Cricetulus griseus: one gene and its partner. The protein of the gene in region 1 interacts with the protein of each later gene in a biochemical or structural test. Links are inferred from orthologs where the notes say so. Each region holds a gene or a part of one and is shown in the gene's direction. Other genes may lie near its edges.

The links. The genes of interacting proteins can lie anywhere in the genome.
Region 2: the proteins of Myo5b (region 1) and Rab11fip2 form a complex in vitro, tested with the Homo sapiens proteins (2 studies listed by BioGRID). The link is inferred for Cricetulus griseus from reciprocal best matches to the Homo sapiens genes MYO5B and RAB11FIP2.

What each region holds. Positions count from the first base shown.
Region 1 is NC_048595.1:165,303,120-165,311,847, reverse strand, and holds the start of Myo5b (unconventional myosin-Vb), read left to right. Parts: upstream 1-3,444; coding exon 3,445-3,454; intron 3,455-4,876; coding exon 4,877-5,010; intron 5,011-8,728. UniProt on the Homo sapiens protein: May be involved in vesicular trafficking via its association with the CART complex. The CART complex is necessary for efficient transferrin receptor recycling but not for EGFR degradation.
Region 2 is NC_048596.1:1,405,651-1,413,906, forward strand, and holds the end of Rab11fip2 (rab11 family-interacting protein 2), read left to right. Parts: intron 1-3,453; coding exon 3,454-3,702; 3' UTR 3,703-7,331; downstream 7,332-8,256. UniProt on the Homo sapiens protein: A Rab11 effector binding preferentially phosphatidylinositol 3,4,5-trisphosphate (PtdInsP3) and phosphatidic acid (PA) and acting in the regulation of the transport of vesicles from the endosomal recycling compartment (ERC) to the plasma membrane.

The sequences.
Region 1 (8,728 bases):
CATCAGCAGGCAGAGAATGCTTTCAGTCACCAAGCTAAGCCATTTGCCCTTTTTGGCTCTTCTTAGGGAGCACAATCCAGACCGTTTTGCTTTAGACCAAGTCGTCATTGCACCTGAGTTGTCAGTGTGCCTGATATGTTACAGAGAAACTCCCTGGAGGCCTTACCTTTATGCCTTCACACTTGTTTTCATGTATGATACTGTTATACATGACACTTTATTCATATAAAATACCTACTCAGCAGGATTTGGACCCCTCCCCAAGAAGATCAGTATTTCTCTTGGTCGGTGGTCAGAGTGGAAGGTTTAGAGGCAGAGGCTGGGGTCTTTGCTCTGGGTCTGCAAAACCCCCTCACATTCAGCTCTCAGAAGCCTGGGCAGATTGTCTATTGTGTCTAAACCCCGGATTCTTCTGTTTATAACACCACTGTCCTTGACTTGGATTTGAGACCAAGCTGATATGATTAAAGGACTTCATGTGAGTTACCTTAGTGTAAGGTGATAGAGGTGGCACTAATAATGCCAGGAGGAGAATCCTTCAAGTGCCCGTGTTCTCTTACTGCACGTTTCTTCTTTGCTCTGAGGATCACTGAAGTAGTGATTGTAATTATGTGATTATTTCATCATTTGGAAAGTTAGTTTGAGGTTTTGTTTTGTTCTAATGTACTGCTCTGGATCTACCCCCTAGAGAGTTAATTATTCAAATGTGGGATGTGGCTGTTAGTGTCCTTGTGTTTTAAAGGTCTACAGATAGTTTTTATCTATCAGCCAGCACCAAGAATCACTTCTCTCAGTTTTTGGAGTGAAAGGGGCTAGATTCAGTTACTAAACATAAGGCAAGGTTTAGTAACTTAAGTACAGAGACCTGAGAACACTAAAATAATTGAAGCAATAGACTTATGTCCAAATTGGTGTTGGTATCTAGAATCCTACCAGGGTCCTGCTTTTCATACAACATGGTATACATAGCACCACTGCCATCATTCTCTGATACCCATTTAATTTTTGGTAACTGTTTGAGGTAGATAAAGTTTTCATCCTAATGTTCATCTGAGGAGGATGGCGTTCAGACATATGCAACAGCCCACTCAAGACAGTAAGTTTTGGCCACTGACCTGTCTTGTAGAGCCCAGAAACCTACCACAGTGCATATGTGGACAAATGGTGTGCTCTTGCAGACATCATGTTTGCATTTGCCCGAAACGTTTTAGTTGAGAATGCTGGCAAAAGGATGCCTCTATATCCATGAGGATCTCTGTACTCCCCAAAGAGGTTACTCAGGCAAACCACGCAGATTGCTGGTTCTCAAGGTGCTTGTGCATTGGATTCATCTGGGAAGCTTTCACACTGCCTGATTCCCACCCCCAAGGTTGATGGAGATAGTCTAGGGTATTGTCTGGCTTGGGAATTAATAAGCTCCTGAGTGACTGTAATGTGCAGCCAGAGCTCAGAGCACGGTTGTCATAGGCAGCCACTCTCCAGCTGCATGTTTCGATGCCACTGGAGACAGAGGCAGGGAGCAAAGGCCTTGAGAACAGCTCCGTGCTAATCTTTAACATTTGATGTAGTCATCCCTAGTTAATATATGGGCTCCTTCCCAGATTACCTCTTACTTGGTTATAATAATAATACTTCATTTGCTCTTCATAAAGGAGCTAAGCGTGGCTAAAATACAGTAGTGACAGATTCTGTAACTCTGTAATTAGGATACTGAGTGAACTTGTCCTCAGACAGTCTGCTGTCTTACATTCAGTGAAGCTGCTAGAGCTTAGATCTGAGAGAAACTCTCAAAGGTGTGAAAAATAAAAGGCTGGAAGTAACTCAATGGTAAAGCACTGTCTAACATATGCCAGGTACTAGGTTCAGTCCTCCAGGTCCTCCCACACACACTCAATTCAGAACTGTTTTAAGTGGATTTACTGCTTTTGTCCAGGACTGAAATTTGGTCCCCAGCACCTACATGATGGCTCACACACACCACTTGACTCTGGTTCCAGAGGATCCCATGTTCTCTCTGGTCCTGTGTAGGAATCTGCAGACATCTGATACACATAAACTCAGGCAAATACACATACACACACATAAAAGAAGACAAGTTTCTTGAAAATATGTATTGTTACAGTTTTCCTACAGGTTAGTAGTAAGAACGCATGACAAGAGAAGGTTTGCATACTCCATGGTTTTGGACCCTCTCTAGTACAACAATGTGGTGGACTTTAGGGGAGGGTTGCTGTTTGGTTTTTATAATTTTTTTAAATTACAATTATGTCATTTTCCCCTTCCCTTTTCTCCCTCTAACTCATCCCATGCCCCCACCCCAGCTCTCTCTCAAATTCATGGTCTCTTTAGTTATTGGACTATATATATGAATATATATGTGTGTATACACACACATATTCCTTAATACACAAATACAATCTGCTCCACCTATAATGTTACCTGTATGTATATAATCTCTGGGCTGACCACTTGGTATTAGATAAGCAGTTTGGGGCTCTTCTCTCGGGAAGACCACTTCTCTTTTCCTTTGGAAGATTGCATGGCTCTTTCTGGTACCATGAAAGGTAGTCCTCCAGGAGGTGGCTTTAAGTCAATCCTAGCTCCAGTCCTCTGGGTCTTGCATCTGAAGGGCATGATGTCTTCAGCAATAAGGACTTACTTTCCATCTCTGGGGGCAGGAAAGGGGAATCTCTTGGACAACCCTGACCAACAACTCAAAAGGGGAGTCTCATGCTTGGGAGTTTTTGTTAGTCTATGGCCCTTGGAGGAAGTGTTGTCAGTCCACATGAGAAGATTGCATTTCAATTGTATATGTGTATGTGTACACAGAATATATATATATATATGTATATATATATATACATATATATATAATCTCTCTGCCTAAATTATGATATATAATTTTAGGCAGGGAGATAACAGTATGCTTCTTTATAACTTTTTCATACATTATTACTGTATTTATCTTTCCATTTTGCCCCTTTCCCTCTTCAGGTCAACTGTACCCTGCTACTCCCCTCTGTTGCTCTCCTCCTGCACTTTCGTGGTTGCTGCACTTGCTCCAGGCTTTATACTCACATCGTTTTAACTGAGAGCAAATATTTCATGCATGCACTCTGTCTGGCTGTATAGCATTTGCGTCACTCCTGGAGATGTCTCCTTCAAATCCCTTTCCTCTCCACAGCCCCATCACACCTGGCTACCCTCCCCTTCTCAAGTCCCTTGCTAGTTACTGTGGCGTCTCTCCCTTTCCAGTCTGTGGGTCTGCTTTCTTATTGTTTATTTTGTGCTGGTGATACTTTGTGCATATTTCAGAGACCATGCCTTACCTTAAGTCATGTGGGCAAGTGAGGGTGGCAGTGTTTGCAAAGCTAGAATGCAAAGTTGGTGTATCATTAAATCACCCTTGAACGTGCTGTAAATTGCCCATTGTGTGTGCTAAGTATGATGTTGGGTGAGTGTCCCTGTTGAGTAATTTGTAGGAGCTTCAAGTGGAGAACCCATAGAGGATAAATGTAAGAGGCCAGAGGCACGGGGAAGCCAGCCTGTAGATGCAGCCACCCTGCATTCAGAACAGAGGAGAAATGTCACACAGGTTGTTATTGGAGGGAGACTGGGAAGATTTATGATAGCATGTGGCACGGACTGGCACAGGCTACTCGCCAAGTGTTTACTGGATTTTGGTCTGAGGTTTGTCCAGTAAGATCTGAATCTGCAATGCCTTCCTAAAGCCACATTAGAACGAAGCTGCCTGGTTCTTCTTTCTCAGCCAGATATATCTTCCCTGCCCTCCTTGTCTCTTCTGCATGGACTGAGTAGCCATTATCCACCCTGACCCCCAACACACACACACACACACTTAGGAGTTGTCCCATCACTCCTTCAACTATATTTTGATGAGTATCACCTGCCCTACTAGGTAGGTTCCTGAAGTTTGGGCAGTTGATTTCCATGTCTGTACTGGATTATGTGGTGCTCAGGGCAATATATTTTAGGTAAAACCAGGCTCCCCTATAAGATGCATTCCATTTTTAATCACTGAGCACACCTGCTAGATGTGCTGAATCCTAAGGATTCAAAGTAATGTGTCTAGAAGATCTTGCAATCATGAAATGAGACTCACTTGAAAGAAATGACTGTGAAGCCAGAAAGGAAGCTAATCAGACAGATTTACTATGGTCTCAAAGGCTAACTTTTTTGATGATAGTAGTCAATAAAAAGGTGATGATAGTCAGTGAAAAGGTGATCATAGTAGTCAGTGAAAATGTGTGGTTGAGGATGTTTACATCATGGTGGGCCACAGAGTCAGAAGACAGTGGCTGGATCAGAGCAAGGGATGAAGGCAGGTATAACCATCACAACCCCCCCCCACAAGTCCACTAGTGTCATGATTTCAGCTAGGCCAAACATCCTAAAGGGTCAGGGCCTCCTGGATTAGCAGGTCCAGGGTCCAAAATCATTTAGAGCATGAGGAGATATTTTGGATTTATACCATTAACAGTGGGTGCCTTTGACTTGTTGGCCACTTCCACTGAATGTAGACTGTGAAGTCTTGCTGTGCTTCCCTGTGTTTGACCAGTATTATTTTACTAATTATAACATGCTCCATCCTTCTGTTTTGTGTCTCCTTTTAAAAGGGTGGTAAGCCTGTGTTGAGCTGTCTCCTGAAAGAATTTTAATGTGACTATCACGTTTTCTTAAGACTGAGAGGGTGCTGTTGTAAACTAGTCCTATGAACTATTTATTATTTATAATATTGAATCATCTTGTGTCTTTAGTGGGACTCATGGTATATGGATGTTGCTGTAGAATATTTTCCTGACAACTCCTTTATAGATGCTGACACATGCTTTGGATGCTTTGCTTTGTGTCTAAGTCTCTTTTCTTCTCATCTTTCAGTACACAAGGGTCTGGATCCCTGACCCAGATGAAGTGTGGCGCTCAGCTGAATTAACCAAGGACTACAAAGAGGGGGATAAAAGCCTGCAGCTCAGACTGGAAGATGACACAGTAAGTGCTGGTCCTTAGGGTGGGCGCCCAAAATATATGGACTTAGATTTGCCTGCCCGTTGGTGTTTCTGAATTCCAAATTCTTCTGTCATTGTTAATGATAGTGTATGTGAAAAGTGACAAACCATGAGTCTGCCCACTCATGTTAGCAAGTGGAGTTTGACTGGTAGCTGAGACAAGAGTCTTTATGTTGGAGTGAAGAGAACAAGTCTGCTGTGTTGAGGCATCAGCAAGAGGGAACAATCCCTGGGAACAGAACAGGTGGTGGGAGCCTGGGCTCAGGGTACCTTTGGCCAACAGTGGGTAATGTTAATGCAGGATCTACGTGTGCCCAGTGCCCGAGACCCCAGTGTTGCATGTGCACAAGGGAAGGAAGGCAGACCAGTGATCCTGGGACCCAGGAGGCCTGAGGCTGAGGTGACAGACAGCCATTTTACAAAGGGTACACACAGGGAGCCTGGTTTTAAACAAAGTGGTGGGATGACATGAAGAACTGGCTTTAAGACAGACAGATGGCTAAATGGATGGGCTGCAGAGCAGGATAGAGTGAATGAAAGGTTTGTGTTGAAATCCAGGGCCTGGAATGTCTATATTGTGTCCTTTGCCTGTGAATTATTAACTGTCTTGGTGTTGTTCATTCTTCGAAGTATTTTGTTCTGTTTCCCACTCCAAATGCTTGGTTGAGCAACCTGTTGATTGAACATTCTCCAACCACCAACCCGTGCTGTATGAATTCGAGTGTGTCACTTTGAGTATGGCACTGGGGCAGGTGAATTCAGGTTGGTTAGCATGTCCTTCTCCCTCTAGCTGACAGGCTTTGCTAGTCATATCTTGGCTTTGAGGGAAGAAACAAAACTGTCAGCAGATGGAATCTTGTTTACCATTTTGAATAACTTCCCACCCTGCCCCTGAAACAAAATGAATTTAGTCCACCCGCTTGAATAGAGTGGATTCTACTCCAACAGATTTCATTTCAGTTGGTCTTTTCATGTGGGTGGGTGTTGTTAAAAGCTGTATGGAGGAAGCAAGGGCTGATCTGTCATGTTGCTAAAACAGCAGATACTTGTGTCCTTGACTGCACACAGCTTTGGCCCTGAACGACAAATCTTGGAAGCTGCCCATGGCCCATCTTTTCCTATCCGGCTATGAGACTGGTCACGGTGGAACTGGAAGAAAGCCCCGGGCTGGAGATCAGCATAGGCTCTGAGCATACAAGTCTCTCTCTCTATTGCCTGTGGCTTACGGCTGGCATAAAGCTGGCCCCAAAAGTGACTGGGCACTGTCCACTGGAGGTAGGGACACAGGCACTGCATGGCTGGAGGCTGAGTGCTTGAAGAGCAGTTCTTCTGAAGCTGAAGCCATCCTGTACTACCATCCTGACCTCCCAGCCCCCAAAGTAAAATGCTGTTGGTTTTAGTGCAGAAGCAAATGCAAAGAGGGTAGGCCAGATTTTTTGCTAGGAAATCCAACCCCAGGCTGATAGCAGGAATGCCTACTTCACTGCCAACAGCCGCCTCTGATGAGGTATTCAGGCCTCTCACCATTCATCTTAGATGCCCCTCCCACTTTTGTTCGGTTATTTCTTCTAGTAAACTGTAGAATATAAATGTAACCAGGCGGTCCATTTCTAAGTGAACAATTCAGTGCCATTTGCACTACTGCAAATGGTTACCATGCTCTTTTAACATATGGCAAAACTGCAACTACCCCCATCAAACACCTCTCGTATCTTTTTTTACAGCCTGCCACTGTGCCACTGTAACAAGCAGTCTGAGTCCTGCTGCCATGTGTGTGCTTTCTGCCAGGCCACCCAAGTTCCCCCCGCCGCCATATTAAGGTCCCAAGTAACACAGAGAGACTTATATTAGGTACAAATGCTGCTTGGCCAATGACTAGGATTTCTCATCTGCTAGCTCAGTCTTAATTTTCATAAATCTATATATTTTATAAGACTTATCTTATAGAGGACGCCATCCGCTGATGCCCTCACTTGCCGGCGGATCACATGGTGACTCCAGAGTAGAGACCAGGAGGAAGAGAGAAGGGAACGACTTCCTTCTTGCCCTTGCTTATATATATGCCACCTTCTGTCTTTGACTCTGGCTGCACTAGGTACTTCATACAAGTACCATCATGTGGTGTGGGTGCTTTTTCCTCTGTCTTAGGTCACTTTTCATAATCTAAGATGTTCTGTTTGGCAGACAGCCAGAAGATGGTGACTTCTCTGGAGAATAGTGTCATCTGTCTTTTCTTTCTCTCTAGAGTGAGGATAAGTATAACATGCTTGTGTGCTAATACTTGGCCTGGTTTTCTGCTTTTAGGTGGTGCTGGGCATTTGTCAGATGCCAGCCTTGGGTTGATGAGCGCAGCCTATCTATGCTTTGACCAGAACAGAGCTCAGTGCAGGTCCAATGCTGTTTCCTGTTCCCCGCCTCCCTTGCAAACTGCTCCACTCCTGCCCTCTACTGGCTGAAAATTCCCTGTTTCTGTGCTTTCACTTTGCTGAGTTCCAGCTAAGTCTGTGGGTGTGTCTAGCAGCCTTAGTGAGACTTCCTGTGTACATGTTTGTGAGTGGGAGGTTGCAATGGAGCTATGAGACTGGCGGAGAGTGACCTGCTCTCCCTGCACTGTGATTTGTCTAAGCTGAACCAAGTGGGCTGAGGTGGAAGGATGTTATATTGTTACCCAGCATGTGGTGAAAGGATGTTATACCATTACCCAGATGTTCAGTTACTGAGAGTGCTTTAAAAATCTACCTAGCACTTTTATTATTTTGAATATTTAAGTAACTATCCAAAGAATAGAGCTGTTTGCAGGCCTGGCGAACCTCCACCCCACTACCAATTCAAGGAAGTGGCATGTTTTCTTTAGGCACATTGTAGCCTCTCCTCTGTAGGAACACAACTGAAGATCAATGCGGGAAATCATTCTTCATATATTGTGTAATAGGGTTGCAAATACTTGGGGAAGCCCTCTGAAGTCATAATTAGCTGAGAATATTGGACTCTGGTAGCTGTGTTAAATCCAAGTTCCTGTTGTCAGTGGGTAAAAGAAATCCATTCTTAAGTATCCTTCCTTGCTCTCCCTGGACACCCACAAGCTGAGGAATCTGTGGCCTGGACCGCTGAGTTTGCAACTCCTACCTCTCCTGTGCTGTGCAAGGCATTTAATTCCTTATCAATTTTCTGTAACCAATACCTCTAGCTCATCTGTGGATATGTTTTTTTTGTTTTTTTCCCAAAATTTTGTATGTGATTGTCTCCTCCTGCCTGACAAGGTCTTCCAAGAGGTGAATCATTTGGAAATGATAGAAAACCCATGTTTCTGCCCTGGAATGTGAAGATATTGGCCTGAATTTAAAGCTTTTCAGTTTGAAAATCGAAGGGCAGGATGGGATGAACGCTCTGGGAGGGAGGTCTGGCACAGTCACACAATCCCACTAACTCAGCGGATGACAAAAACCATGAAGGTGCCTGTGTTGAAGGCCTCACTGCCCCTGTTAGGAAGGCCTATTATAAGGGATGCTGGAGACACACCCTTGAATAAGCTTGAAATCCTGGCACCCTTCTCCTTTATCTATCCATCCTGGCTGCACTGGGCTGAGCAATCCTGCCCTTGCATTCATTCTCCACCATAAGGATCTGCGTTGCTGTAGGCCAAAAAGGCATGTATCTGAGAGGCCATGACTGAAATCTCCAAAACCCTTAACCAAAACAAA
Region 2 (8,256 bases), on another chromosome or scaffold:
ATGACCCCCCATGGTTCTCAGATTTTCCAGTAAATATTTTGTTAGGAAAGTAAAAATCATAGTAGTTGGACTTTATTATTTTAAAATGCAGTTCAGAAAAAAAATAGTCAATAGATTACAGAATTCTGGATCGGAAAGGGGTTGGAGATGCCTCATCAGATAAGGGGTATGAGACCCAGCCTGATTCCCATCTCATTTTTATACATTATTACTTGTGCTCAAATACAAAGGTTAGCTTATTTCTGACAAATCAAAAAAGTCACTATAATTTATCTTGTCTTTATTATAGAAAAATGCAAAATACTATATATATTTTATGAGAATATAATTAATAAATTTATAGTATACCTCTGAACAACCAGTGACCAATACATTGTTATAGATTTAATTGACCCAAGAGGGAAGGTGGCAGCCAGCACTTAGCCCCAAATTATCCTTATAGGGCTTAAGAGCAACATTAGAAATGTTGGGGCACAAGTAATTTAATTCAGAAAGTTTCAATAAAGAAAATGAGTTGTTTAAAGTATATATTTCAGAATTCATACTCACTTTTCTTAAATATTACATTTATTATGAGTAAAGTAAGTTTATAATAAACTTCAGTATCTTGTAAAGGATTTGACTTTCATGACTGAGGTCTTGGTAAGAATTTTTTAAGTTAACATTTATTAAATGTTAAAAAAATCTTTGCATATTTTATCATGGCATTATAGAGACTGTTAAGGTTTTTATAGCATCCAAATTCATGCTTTCAGTATTTTAATAGCTCTGGAAGCAGCCTCTGCTCCCCCAGTCTAACCATAGTTGCCATGTTAGTTTCCTAGAACTTTGTTTCCAAGATATTTCTGTTTATCGTTGATCATAGCAGAAGAGCTGAGAAGTGAGCCATTTCTGCTTAGAAGCCTTCAATAGTTTTTATTTCCCTTAGGAAAATGCTGCAGACCATCAAGGATGACATTGTCCATGCTCGATGGGGCGGTGGGTGTCACCAGATCCTCTGTCTCACCTGTTTTCTGGTTGCGTCTCTCTGGTCTGTGGCAGGCCACTGGACCTTGATCCCTGTTTACTCATTGTCCATGCTCGTCTCACCGTCCAATTCTGCATGGAGAGTGTGAAGCCTGTTGAAAGCTGTCACCACCCCAGTCCTGAGTCTCAGCCTAATGTGTGTATGTCCAGGAAGAAGGGGCACAATGGAGTGACTGGATGTTACTCCAGCTTCTGCCTAGGGGTTAGAAGGGGGAGCATATGGTGAAGAACTGGCCTTGGCGTTAATGGAAAAGTCCCAGACGCATCACAGTGAAAGAGGGAGGGTACTGAAGGTGGGAGAGACATGTAATTTCTGTGGGAACAAAAGTCTTTCCATATTCCCCAGGCCTCACCCATCCTCCACTGGACAGACTCTTGAGTCCTGCCTTCGGAACAGAAAACTAGTTTCCTTAGTATTTTAGTTATTTTCTTAAAGCAAATGGAAGTGTTTTGACTAACAGTGATACAGATCATCCCAAATTGTTGAGTTTATGAGCAGAACTGTGTTTTCAAGGCATCGAATCTGCTGTTTGTATCTCGACATTACATGGTGGAGATCTAAATTCCAGGGCATTGCTATCAAGGGAGTGTTACAGGGCCCATCTTCACCCTCACAAGTTGTTTTCTTTAGATTTTGGTGTCACAACACTGTTAGAATAAAAAAAGTTAAGGCAAGACACTCTTATGGTTGTATCTATGCTTTTGCTAGATTTTACTTTTGGACACTAGGATATCATTAGCTAAGTAAATGAGTGAGATGAGAGGGCACATAGCTGTCTTGACTGTATTCATATGGCTGTAGCTGAGCTCCAAGCTTCCTGACAACAGGGCGGAAAATAGAAACAGTATCCAACTGTTGTTTATGGGAACTGGAAGCATCTGTTACTTAGGGAGAGAATCTCACCGTGCTGGTCAGCTAAGACAGAAGTTATAACCGTGGATCATGGTCATTGGTTTAGTTCCAGGTGCCTCTGTCATTTTTCAATAAATTAGAGAAGCAGACTGGTATTTCTGTTTCTCATAGCTGTCATCAATAAAAACCCCAGGCAGAAGTGTGAATCTGAATTTAGTGGAGTGATTCTGTGAGCACAGTGTCTGTGTTACAGTGTCTGTATGTTTGGTGTCTATATGTACGGTGCCTATATGTGTGGTGCCTGTAGAGTGTCTATATGTGTGGTGTGTATGTTGATATGTATAGTGTCTGCATTTGGGGGATCCATATGTGTGGTGTCTATATGTGTGGTATTTGTATGTACAGTGTCTATATGTTTGGTGTCTATGTTTATATATACAGTGTCTTTATGTGGTGTCTGTATGTACAGTGTCTATATGTTTGGTGTCTATATGCACAGTGTCTATATGTTTGGTGTCTGTGTACATTGTATGTGTGATGTCTATGTGTATGGTGTCTATATGTACAATGTCTATGTGTACAGTGTCTATATGTACAGTTTCTATGTTGTCTATGTTTATATGTGCAGTGTCTATGTGTGGTGTCCATATGTTTGGTGTCTATATGCACAGTGTCTATATGTGTGGTATCTATGTACATTGTATATGTGATGTCTATATGTGTGGTGTCTATATGTACAGTGTCTAATGCACAGTGTGTATATGTGTGGTGTCTGTGTACATTGTATGTGTGATGTCTATATGTATGGTGTCTATATGTACAATGTCTATGTGTTTGGTGTCTATACACACAGTGTGTATATGTGTGGTGTCTGTGTACATTGTATGTGTGATGTCTATATGTATGGTGTCTATATGTACAATGTCTATGTGTACAGTGTCTATATGTACAGTTTCTATGTTGTCTATGTTTATATGTGCAGTGTCTATGTGTGGTGTCTATATGTACAGTGTCTATATGCACAGTGTGTATATGTGTGTGGTGTCTGTGTACTTTGTATATGTGATGTCTGTATGTATGGTGTCTATATGTACAATGTCTATGTGTACAGTGTCTATATGTGTGGTGTCTATTTGTGAAGTTTCTCTAGCTTCTTGACAGTACTTTGGCTAGATGTCTACTTTTAACCTGTTTTCATTACATTGGCTAACTATAGTTTGAAATTATAGAGCATATCCTATCCACTCCCTCTAGCATGCTGGAGATGGAACCTAGGGACCTCTGCATGCCAAGCAAGTGCTCTGCCACAGAGCCACACCCTCAACACTCATGTTGTAGTTAAGGCCACACTAGTATGGGCAGTCTCTGGGACTAAGAAGTTGTTCCCAGTATAAGAATGAATTTCAGGTGAGGCTTTTAACCTGTCTTCCTTCCTTCCTGCTTGGCACTAGCTGCACCTGGGAACTGGAACCCTGTTTCTAACTATGGCTGGAGAGAAACTTCATCAGCCTCAGAAAAACCAGAAGATGAAATTCTGACTCTTAATGTCTGTCACTGTGTCCTGCTTGCTAAAGCAGGTCTGTATTTCATTCCAGGACAACAATCCTTTTGATGCCACGGCTGGGTACCGGAGTCTGACCTATGAAGAGGTGCTACAGGAGCTGGTGAAGCACAAAGAACTTCTTCGGAGGAAAGACACCCACATCCGAGAGCTAGAGGACTACATTGACAACCTCCTTGTCAGGGTGATGGAGGAGACGCCCAGCATCCTGCGAGTGCCCTATGAGCCATCCAGGAAAGCTGGCAAGTTCACCAACAGCTAGTGGAGCCAACAGGACTGTGTTTATAGTTGAGAAGAGAGGGCTAGAGGGAATAAGAAAGAAGGAAGGGAGGAAGGGAGTGTGTTACTGGAAGAGCCCACACTGTCAGGTTTCACCTCCTCCCCTCCATCACTGGGAAATACGTTGGTCTTGTACATATTCGCAGGTATTGTCTAGAGTGACTTTGGAGTGAGTAAAGCACTCTACACTCTGACACTTGAAAACAGGCCATGCCTTGATGAATGAGCAGTTCTGTGGCATCACTTGGATGCTAGTTCTGGACCCCTGTCTGCCATAGGCCTGGAAATATCTTTAACAGCCCATGAGTTATTCCTCAGGAATAGATTCTGTGAAGCAGAGCTGATACTGTTGTTGGATTATTAGAAGTCAGTCTAGACGCACTTAACGTCAGGAACACTGCTCGTTATAAACACTACTAAAAAATAGCAAGTTCCTCATATATCTATGACTATGTATGTTCAAGTGTCTCTGTGTATATATACATGCATATACCTCATATACACGTGAGCTTTTAAGACATTTAAAAACAAGTGGTTGCCTCTAAGGTTAGGATTCGAATCTCATAGTCTAAAATTCGCTTTTGCAGTATCCACCATGACTGCTTGTCACTAGGACCACCCCATCTCAATGGAGAAGCTGCTTCAATCCTCTTCTGATTCTCTGAACCCTGAATTTGAAGGGATTCACTACATCCAACTCAGCCCCCCACCTCCCACCCCCACCCCGAAAGCCCTGTGCCCCAAAACGTGATGATCTCTTTTCAAGGAATGACAAAATTAGGGCTCTTTATTTTTCCCATTGAAGCATGGATTTCTTCAGCTGGTTTTCTCCTGCTATTTGAGTTTATGGGGAGTGTAGGCAGGAGATAGGCTAGTACAGTTGGTTGTACTTTGGATTATGAGCAAAGACAACAGCAAAGATACATCTGAAAATGAGCTGGCGTCTGAGGGGCTGGCTGGCTGTTGCCGGATAACCCAAGGCAACAGCAAGTTGTAGGAATGAAGGGCTTGGCTTCAGTTTCATCAGCAGTAGAACAGATGGTTGCCTGTGAGCCCCGATCCAGAGATTGACTGCAGCAGTGAGTGCTGAGAGCAGCCCGTCCCTTCACCAGCCTCACAGTCACAGCGTGGGGCACCCCACGTCCACCCTTGAGGGGTTGATATGTCACCAAAATATGGGGTCTTTGTTTGAGCCCGCCTCCCTAGAATGGTAGTTCCTGTGTGGATCTGCCTTATGTATTTGTAAAAAAATTATCCTAAAATTTAAAGTGAAAAGTTATGAGGTAAGAATATTGCTGATCTTCTCCTGGTATTTCAGCCTTTGAGATCTAAATGCTCTGAAGCAGACTGTCTTTCTGGATTGGAAATGAAAAGACTGCCTACAGAGACCAACTCGAGTGCATCCCCAGCCCTGTAGTGAATTGCATTTTCACTGAAAGTTAAATGAAAGCAAAGATGATAGTTTTGCTGATTTTCATATTTTTGGTCACAAAACCGCTTGTTATCTATATTTTCTAAGTTTCTGTGGTTTTTCTAGAAAACATGGGTTTTGAAGTGAGTTTTTCCCAAATGCAAACTTAGATACTTTTCTAAAATTCAAATAGAGAAGGAAAAATGGCTTTTTAAAATCAAATTTTCTTCCACTTGTAATTGAAGTGATTCTATAATAAACTTCAAAGACTAGTTATAGATTTGATTTTCCCATGTGAGATCTTGGTAAATATTACTTTTAAATGGTGCCATTTAAAATTAACATTTGTTAGATGTTACCAAATTCTTAAAATTCTTAGCATATTTTCACCATAGCATTGCTGAGACTCTTAAACTTTCTAAAGCACCCAGATCTGTGTTTTCAGTGTTGTGACAGATACCTGCAGGTGCAGTGACATGCATCAGCCAAATATGTCCTTTCTAGAGTGAACTCAAGCTGTCTGTTTTATCCTGGGAATAAGTTTTCCATAAATCTCATCTGAAAAGCGTGGTTCAAATGCTGCCGCCCCCTTTTATGAGAAGCAAGTTATAAGCCACAGTTGTTACCTCCACAAGAATCCATATCTATGGACTCATCTGCCCTTGGTGACTGGCTAGGCTGACAAGTATTTGCCTCTTCAGAATCTAAAATGAAGCTTTGTCCAGTGGCAGTCTTGTAGGCAGTGAGGTTTATCTGAGGCACAGTTATTATACCCAGATTATAAACAAAAGTCTAAGACAAATAAAAAGTATCCATTTACACTCTGTAAAATGTTGTGTTCACTCGTGAGCTTAATGTTTTTATCATAGTAAACATAACAAACTTAGATATAAAACAAGTGAATATAGCATGTGACTGTACCCACCAGGCACTATAGAAAGAAGGCCAACATGATTGGTTCATTTTCCAAATGTCACATGGAATATTCTAGTGGTTTATTTTTTGTATTAACTTAGAAGAGGAAGTAAAATGTATGTTTCAGTAAACAGTGCATGCATAATAGATTTTTAAAGGATGTTTTATTTCTACTTTTAGCCTAAAAATACATGCTTAAAACCACTTCTACTGACAAGATTTTTTTTTTTAAATCACAGAATCAACACTTCTCTCAAGCCTGATTTAAGCTAACACACTTCTGTTACATAATTAAACTACTTCTTAAAACAACAACAGTATTTTACAACCTGTCTCTTCCCAGTTCTAAACTCAGCTTGACAGTATTGCCACGTCACCCAGCTACTGGGACTTGTGTCATTCCTCGAGCACCAAGGTCATTGCTTAGACTTGTATATAAGATGCAGTGTAGCCCATTAATGGTAAGTGTTGGAAGCATTGCCTTTTGCTGCTGTGTTCTGCATCCACCCTAGTTTTGCCCTCCTCCCATGAATGTAGTATTATTCATAGATTATACATAAGTGCGTGTATTGCTTTTGGCAGTAAATCAAGATCTAGTTGTAATTTTCCAGCTGTGAAAATGTCACCTTGTATTTAAAAGGGTTTCACGAGTGGAAACCTAAGTAAATAAGCTCATTAGTGACAGACCTGCTCTTCCATGTCCCCGTTACCATCTCCCCACCCCCATGTGAGTGCTTATTCCTGAACAAGGAGAATCTTAAACAAAATGTAAAAAGGAAGACTTGCTATTGCTAAGTATCTTTTGTAACTGATAAACTAAAGCTTTGTTTTCCTGGATAGCTTTATCCCCCACCCACCACCCCAATAAAAGCAGCTTACCTTGGATTGGGAAAGCAGGCGAAAACTCTTTGCCTTCTGTGTACTCATCTTTCCTAAAGGTGCAGTGGATGTCACTCCTGTGTGTGTGTGTGTGTGTGTGTGATGTGAGCATGCCCAGTCATTTGATCTCTTTTCAGCAGAGGGAAGGACTGTGCTGCAAGCTGGTGGTGGTATACAGAGGGTCTGTCAGCATGCACCGAAAGCCCCCGTTTTCACAGATTTATAACTTTAATAATCCAGATGCTGTCCTTGGAAGTATTTAATATGCAATAGGTAGCACCTTCACTAATTAATCTGCATATGAAGGGCTTCCTGATATATTTAATAAGATGTGTAGAAGCTCTTCAAGCATTAAACTAAAGTTGACGTTTTATTTCATTTACTTTTCTCTGTCAAAAAAAAAAAATCAACCCTTACAATGGAATTGAAATCTGTCCCCTAATGGTACATTTGGACCTTTTTTAATTTATGGAACTTCTAGATTGTATGTACTGTGATGAATTTAAAAAAAATGCTGCAGATCTAGAAATGTATGTTCTTAGCAAGTGTTGGAATGATGTAAGCATTGTTTATAATTGAAAAGTATTACCCTTCCTTCTTAAGTAAATGCTTAGCAACTCATATACATTTTTGCAGGTACAAAAGTATATAAACATTGTATAATGTGACAGTTGTATAATTTATGTAATCTGATGCATGAGTCAGAATTTTTATATATGATAATTGATTTGTTATAGTTGATTAAAGTGTTTAAACTTAATCCAGTTATCAGAATTTCTATTGTAAAGCTGTTCCTATTACGCATTTCTATAGGCTTCTTCATTGTCTCTGGATAATGAGACAGGTTGTGTTGGGGCAAATGATCAATACAGCCTCCAGACCTGTCTTGTAGGGAATCTGGCTCTGAATGGTCATGTGGAAGTCAAGTACCTTTTAACTTAGTGTGTGTGTGTGTGTGTGTGTGTGTGTGTGTGTGTGTGTGTGTCTGTGTGTGTGCGAGCGTGTGTGTACGTGTGTGTATATGTATGTGTGTCTGAGTGTGTATGTATGTGTGTCTGTGTGTGTATGTACGTGTGTCTGTGTGTTTATGTACGTGTGTCTGTGTGTTTATGTACGTGTGTCTGTGTGTTTATGTACGTGTGTGTGTGTGTGTGTGTCTAGAGAGAGAGAGAAAGAGGGGCAGGGAGAATATTGTGTAGGTCCTTCCTGTGTCTCCTTAGGGGCGCATTGAGAATACAAACACTTGTACTACTGTAACCAGCTTTTATATGGAATCTGGGGATCGACCTTAGGCCGCCAGGCTCTTGTAGCAATCCCCTTATCCCTGAGCCA